2 linked regions of the Coturnix japonica genome follow. The protein of the gene in region 2 interacts with the protein of the main gene of each other region in a pairwise test. Links are inferred from orthologs where the notes say so. Each region holds a gene or a part of one and is shown on either strand. Other genes may lie near its edges.

The links. The genes of interacting proteins can lie anywhere in the genome.
Region 1: the proteins of AP1M1 (region 2) and AP1B1 interact in a two-hybrid assay, tested with the Homo sapiens proteins (2 studies listed by BioGRID, with this or other methods). The link is inferred for Coturnix japonica from reciprocal best matches to the Homo sapiens genes AP1M1 and AP1B1.

Annotation. Positions count from the first base shown.
Region 1 is NC_029530.1:9,936,910-9,941,151, forward strand, and holds the start of AP1B1 (AP-1 complex subunit beta-1), read left to right. Parts: upstream 1-1,419; 5' UTR 1,420-1,538; intron 1,539-1,643; 5' UTR 1,644-1,659; coding exon 1,660-1,696; intron 1,697-1,921; coding exon 1,922-2,027; intron 2,028-2,570; coding exon 2,571-2,706; intron 2,707-3,333; coding exon 3,334-3,579; intron 3,580-4,221; coding exon 4,222-4,242. Other genes in the region: NEFH (neurofilament heavy polypeptide), read right to left, coding at 1-181. UniProt on the Homo sapiens protein: Subunit of clathrin-associated adaptor protein complex 1 that plays a role in protein sorting in the late-Golgi/trans-Golgi network (TGN) and/or endosomes.
Region 2 is NC_029543.1:3,465,642-3,468,770, forward strand, and holds part of AP1M1 (AP-1 complex subunit mu-1), read right to left. Parts: intron 2,955-3,129; coding exon 2,812-2,954; intron 2,069-2,811; coding exon 1,997-2,068; intron 1,724-1,996; coding exon 1,565-1,723; intron 1,134-1,564; coding exon 1,008-1,133; intron 356-1,007; coding exon 280-355; intron 1-279. UniProt on the Homo sapiens protein: Subunit of clathrin-associated adaptor protein complex 1 that plays a role in protein sorting in the trans-Golgi network (TGN) and endosomes.

The DNA of each region.
Region 1 (4,242 bases), on a different chromosome or scaffold from region 2:
TGTAGGGTGTGGGCTGCTCTACGGTTGTCTTCGGGTGAGCAGGGGGGTAGGAACCAGGAGAGAAACCCACGGTGCAGCCATCACCCTCTTGCTTGAGCAACTGGCACATGGGGCATCCAGTGCTGGAGTCCATGGAGCACCTGGTGTGGGCATCCATTGAGCAGCCAGTGCTGACATCCATGGAGCACAGTGCCAACGCCCAACGACAGCACTCAGTGTTGGCATCCACATGTACAATGTCAGCACCCAATGTCAGCACCCATGGAGCACCCAGTGTTGGTATCCACACGTACCTAATGCCAGCACCCAGTATCTGAACTCGTGGAGCACCCAGTATTGGTACCCAAAGAGCACCCACTCCACCAGCACCCGGGGACCACTCGATCTGGTGCCTTGCCGTCTCCTCAGCCAGTCAGCACTCTCTGACCACCCCATCTATGCGGTCTCATGTCTCATCCCAGCCACTCAACACCCTGCCGGGGGACCCTGGAGGTGGGCTGGTGGTGGGGCCGCAGCTGCTGCACGTTGGGCTGCGGGGTCCCCGTGTGCTGACCTTGACAGCCCGCTGTCCTGCGCATCGCATCCTCCCTACTCATCACTTTCTTTTTTCCCTCCCCCCGCCCACACTGCGCGGTGCTGAGGGTTGGAGCGTTGGCGCACGGAGCTGCTGCAGTGCCGGGCAGCGCTGGGATGCAGCTCTGCAGAGCAGCCAAACCCGCGGGGCCGCTCTGGAGTGGCCATACGGCTGTCAGTGCGCGGAGGGGCTGCGAGGTGGCCCCAGTGCTGCTGTGGTTCCAGGAGGATGACACAGCGTGTGCTTCTGCCCTCCAGCATCGTGTCCCTCTGTCCCACGTTCTCCATCCCCGTGCCACGTCCCCCTGCCCTCTGCCTTTTCCCATCCGCTGCCCCCAAGCTCTGTCCGCACCCCATCTCCCCCATATAGCACTCCCATCCCCTGTTGCCGCTCCCCGCCCCATCCCTTGTCCCATCCCTGCCGCTTTTCCGTCCCATCCCGTGTCCCTGCGCTTTGTCCACATCCCCATCCCTTCCCTTGTCCCGGTGCCTCCCCTACCCCTGTCCCCTGTCCCCACCCTCTCCTCGCCCATCCCACCCCATCCTCTGCCCACACCCCATGTCCCCACTCCTGTCCCCATGTGCTATCCCGTCCCTCACCCCCCGTCTCCCCCTTCCCAATCCCATGCCCCTACATGTGACCCAGCCCCCTCTATCCCGTTCCCATTCCTCGTCCCCCCATTCCCACCCGCTGTCCCATCCCCATCCCTTCCCTTATCCCACCCCACCCCCTTTCCTCCGCCCACTTCCCACCTCCCATCCCTTCTCCCACACTACACCCCTGTTCCACGTCCCCATCCCACATCCCCCCCCATATCCACCCCATTATCCCCGTGTCCCCACGCGCTGTCCCCGCTCCATCCCACCCCCATCCCGTAGCTCCGCCCCCTCCCCCGTATCCCCTCCCCGGAAGCTCTCTCTCCTCACTTCCTCTGGGCCGGGGGCAGCGCTCGGTGCGGTGGCAGGTTCGGGCCGGGGGCGGCGGAACCGGGGGGGGGGGGGGGGAACCGAGAGGTTTAGGGGGTTAAAATGAACGTGGTCTGTTAATGGTTACGTGCATCTCCCGGCAGGGAACGCGGCGGCACCATGACGGACTCCAAGTACTTCACCACCACCAAGAAGGGTGAGGGGGCTGCGGGGAGGCCTGGGGGGGGCACGGGGCTGTGAGGGGGCGGCCCTTACCATAGGGAGAGATGGGACAGTGTTTGTATACACACACAGGGGGAGGTTGGGCCGCGCTGTGCTGGGCCGGGCCGGGCTCTGTGATCCCATTGGGGCCCATAAGTGGGGGTCTGACACCCACAGACCCCCTTAGAACCTCCCTGCTGACCCCCTGCCTCCCCTATAGGGGAGATCTTCGAGCTGAAGGCAGAGCTGAACAGCGACAAGAAGGAGAAGAAGAAGGAGGCGGTGAAGAAGGTGATCGCATCCATGACTGTCGGCAAGGACGTCAGGTGTGTCCGGCCTCCTGTCCCACGGGCTGCAGGGCAGGGGGGGAATAGTCACCAAAGCTGGTTTTGCCCCGGGGTTTGTGCTTCAGACCCAGCACAATGGGCTGCTTAGGCCTGGTTGTGAGCTTGTGAGCACAGGCTGGTTGTAGGGTTGTATTGTGGGGTTGTGGAGTCATCTGGGATGGAGGATACCTTCTAGGTTGCCAGCTCGGTCTAGGGAAGAGGAGGGGTCCCCTTGCAGCCTTTCAGTATTTAAAGGGAGCTTATAAAAGAGGGAGAGGGTGACTTTGTACAGCGATAGGGCAAGTGGGAATGACTTTAAACAAAGAGAAGGGGAAGCTTAGGTGAGGCGTTAGGTGGAAATTCTGTACTTAGAAGGTGGTGAGACCCTGGCACTGGGTGCCCCATTCCAGGAGGTGCTCAAGGCCGGGTTAAATGGGGTTTGGTGGCTCTCCCAGGATAAAAGGGGCACACACCAGCAGGGCATCATGTCTGTGTTAACACCCCAGTCACTTGCCCTGAGATCTGCGGTGCTTCACATTTCAGCGCTCTCTTCCCGGACGTGGTGAACTGCATGCAGACAGACAACCTGGAGCTGAAGAAGCTGGTCTACCTCTACCTGATGAACTACGCCAAGAGCCAGCCTGACATGGCCATCATGGCTGTCAACACCTTTGTGAAGGTGAGGGGAAGGGACTGTGGGGCGGCACTTTGGCCTCCTGCCACCGAAGGGAGGGCAAGCAGCTGCCCAAGGCTTTCCCTCAGCAAATCAGGGCTCCCCTTGCATGGGATAAGAGCAAATTTGCCCCATGGTGCAAGAGTAAAATGTTTGTGGTGTTGGAGATGCCCCCTGTTGAGCTTGCTGCAGAGAACGTGGTCTTTCTTTTGTGGGCAGGAGCTGGGGAGTGTGTCTGTTGGAAGCCCCTGGGCCACCAGATCCTTTTGTGGGGAGGCTTTCCAGGAAGTTTTGGTGTTTTTAAAAGGAAAAAACAACAACAGTGATTGTGCTGGTTGTGTTCCCCAGGCCGGGTGGCTGTTCTGGGGGGTGCTGGGTGGGTTGTGTCCCTGGTGTAAGCCGGGCACACGCCTGGTTCTGTGGTGTGTTTGGAACAGGAGCTGCTCTAACAGTGTTAGAATTCAGTGGAATGAGACTGAACTCCTTCTGTGGGATGCACTCACTCCACTCAGGAGCTGAATGCAAATAACCTCAGGACTTCAGGAACCCGAATTAAAGTCAAGGTCCTGAAGCTGCTGCTGATGGCTGTGGTTGGAGGGGCTGGAGCTCTCACTGTCCCCTCTGGCCCTGCAGGACTGTGAGGACCCAAACCCTCTGATCCGTGCCCTGGCCGTGCGGACCATGGGCTGCATCCGTGTGGACAAGATAACAGAGTACCTGTGTGAGCCCCTGCGCAAGTGCCTGAAGGATGAGGACCCGTATGTGCGCAAGACAGCGGCCGTCTGCGTGGCCAAGCTCCATGACATCAATGCCCAGCTGGTGGAGGACCAGGGCTTCCTGGACACCCTCAAGGATCTCATCTCGGACTCCAACCCCATGGTGATCAGACCTTGCTTTCCCTGTCTGGTGCAGCAGATGCCCTCCTTTGTTTTTGCAGCCCTGTATCCTTGCTCCCACGTTCCTCTTCATTTCTTGATGCTTTTTGCTGCTTGTCAGATTGCTTTTGGGGGTGGCTGTCCCTGGGGTTGCTTTTCTTGTCCAATAACCGTCTCCTGGCTGCTTTTAGATGTGAGATCTCATTATTTCCCCTTTGTTATTAGCTTCTGCACCCTATGGGGAGCAGGAAAGGCATCAAACAGGATTTGCTGGCTGGGAATGCTGTGATGCTGCATGTTTGGCTTCTCACACCAGCTTGCACTGATGTGGTGGTGGCTCTCTGCTGTTTCCCTGCTGAGGGTGACTGCCGGGAGGGGACAGGAGGAGCACAGGGCTGTAGGATTTGCCCACCCAAACTGCCAAGTAGTGATGGGGGAAGAGTCACAGTGTGGGTGGTGGTGATGTGTGCTGATAGCTCATCTGCACATCAGCTTGTGTGGAGGAGAAGCTGGTGCCCAGATGTCAGAGCAAGGGCCCCACACTGAGGACGCATCTCATCTGCTTGCAGCAGCTTTTCTCCAGAACCACAACTGCCATCCCATTGTGCTCGCTGTCCCTTCACACGTGTCCCATCTCCTCTGGCAGGTAGTGGCTAATGCAGTAGCA
Region 2 (3,129 bases):
TTTTAATTCATATTTCTCCCCAGATTTAAGTATTTCATAATGAAAGTCACATTCAGTGAACAACAGTGCTGTCTAAATGAGCATTTCAATAAGATAGTTGAGTAAGAAAAAAAAAGACTAGAAAAATCAGCAAGCATTAATGTCATGTACATATACTGCAGTGTTTAATACTGAAACACAAGAACAGTTTGCTCATATCTTCAATTTGTTGGTGTATGCTGGAGAATTAAAATACATTAAGACAGAGATTATGTTTATAGTTCATTGCTTTCAATTTACCTCCATTCTGGGTAATGTAACGAACCCATGGGAGAGCCTGATAGCCACTCTTCTCAATTATCTTTAAGTATCGAACCTGGGAAGAAAGAAAAGTTAAATATGAATCTCCCGTGTCAGCCAAGCATTGTTTAGCAAAAAATAAAATGAAATCAGGGATGATTGGGTGGGCAGCGATGATCTATGGATATAGATCATCGCTGATGATAGATATATGGATATATATGGTATTGATAGATAGATATAGATAGATATATGGATATATATGGTATATTCTATGGATAATAATAACAGAAATTATCCAGATGTGCAAAACTTTAGATGTAAACATAAACTGTCGTCACTTGCATTAACAGTGTGCTTTCCATATGAAATAATGCAGCCAGTCCTATCATTCTCTTTACAAGATTCCCTTAAAGCCGGGAAAAATAAAAAATAAAATAAAACAAACAAACAAACAAAAAAATCAGACTTGCCTCAGTAATAAAGAAACACTTTTGGTACTTCAAAGTGAAGGGCAGGAAGATGTTTGTGAATGAGACAGTGACAGCCAGGAAAAGCAGGACAAAAACAACAGCAAAATGACACCAAACCATGGAACAATTACACAGCAAAAATTACACCAAACCAAGGAACAAGGCAGACAAAGCTACAAAGCTGGGCTGCATCAGCTTGTGTGTCAGGAGCCTAGCACACAGCCTCCTTCTGTATTTCTGTTTTCAACTACCAACCTGGATTCCTGAAGTGGTGAAATATGGAATCTCAAATTTGACACTAATGGGAGGTTTCCCTTCCTTGTCTTCAGCTTCAACACTTGGAAGTCCAAAGTGAGCCCTCATCAGATATTCTTTTCCACCCTTACAAAAAAAGAACAATTTTTTTTTTTCTTGAAACAAGAAAAGCTTCCAACAATACAAGTGATTTTCTATGCAGAATATCAAATTGATGAACTGCATTTATTACTTCAGATTCTTTTCTAGGGCTAAGAAGGAAGTACTTGTTTTTATTTAAAAATAGTGGTGTTTGGTTTTTGTTTGTTTTGTTGCTTTTAAATATAGATCAACTTAAGACCAGTTTGAGGCATAATTCATCTTCCTCTGGTCTTATCCTCAACGAGAACATTAGAAGTTTGGCTTTCTTTCTGACCATTTTCATCACATAGCACGGTAGCTGTACTATCACTATGGAGCATTTGATGCTTTTAGAATTTGCCTTAGGCTGAGTCATAAACCATTAACTTTAAGTAATTATTGTACTATTGGGTGAGAAGACTAAAAATAGCACTTACTGGAAAAGACTTGATGGACCAGACAATTTCACTGTTCTCTGGAACCCATTTGACACTTCCAACAGTGGTTTTAAACTTTGGCGAATCCGCATCATTTGGAACTGGAATGTGAATCTCCACATTGTTGGCAGTCGATCTACGTTTAAACTGACTTTTTGCCTAAAGAAAAGTGAGAAAAAAAAATTAAAAAAATCACATCTCTAAGCACATACACTACACATGTAAATTCAGAGAGCTGTGAGATAATTTCCCTCTACCACAATCTACTGAGAAACAGCACAATACAGAACATTAACACAAATGAACTTCACTAAAAAGACACAAATCCCAGGGAAATAGTAGGTGTTTGTGTAAGCAGGAATGCACTCTGCTGGTCAAGCACTGAGAACAAACAAAAGACAAACCAGCCATAATAATTTTAGTACTTCTGACCTTGATCATGTACTCGATGCGGCTGTGGGAATGTTTTTCAATCACAGACTCAATCCAGATCAGTGGCTTTACCTGATGGGAAAGATATTTTACAACTGTAGATTTTACTTTGGCATGTGCACAAAATTGTAATTTCCTCACAAATCTACACTGAATACATTAATTCTGTAAGTAAGCACTGACATACAAGCAAAATGTGGCTAAAAAATGGCAGGCATCGAGGGGGGGAAAAAAAAGAAAGAAGTATTTCTCAGATTAGTTCCTAACATCTTCAGTTGTCAAACACATCTCCACGTATGTGCAGGTCTTTTTGTTTTGTTTTCTGTAACTGTTTTGCTGGTCTCCTGTCACAGCTGACAATTAAATATTTCCTCTTTGCTAAATATTTTCTTTTCAAAAAGAATGTTAACTTATACAGCAGCTGCTACCTTGAGGAGCCAGGAATATGGTATGTTAACATACTCCAAGAAATATTCAGCTAACAAATTAACACTGTCAAGCACAATAAATTGCCACAATAATTTTATAGCATTGTTAGCTTAAAAATGAACTAATTCATGCTTTGAAAATAGTTTCAATAGAAGTTGAAAAGATAAGAGACTTACTGCCAAGTTATTCCTAACCTCATTCTTACTTCCTCCAAAAACAGCAAGCACAAAGCGTTACTACTAATGGTTGACTTCACAACTACTATGCTGCCCATACTTAAAGAAAAAACAAAACACATCACGGGAAAGTCATCAGCAATTCTACCTACAGGCTAGATTATTCTCATAAAAAACTGCTATGGTTCAGACCCAAACATCCAGACTTACGTGGGTATTGAGGCGATAGGACATGAGTTCAAACTCTCCATCAGGTGGGATGAAAGAAATCGTCCTGTCATTTTCAAAGCGAGAGAGACGAACACACTGATGGAACTTCACGTCTTCCAGTTCTACTGATTTACTTTTGCCACCTATCAGAAAACACACATGCCAAGATTTCAAATCACTGCTCCCATTGCATCTGAAGTCACATCAGAGCATTATATAGCAAAGCAGATGCCTGCTGATATCCTTCACACCTGGGTTTAGCCCAGTATTTTTTCTAAGACTCCAAAAGTCCCAGCAGAAGAGGCAATGAAGCCCAGA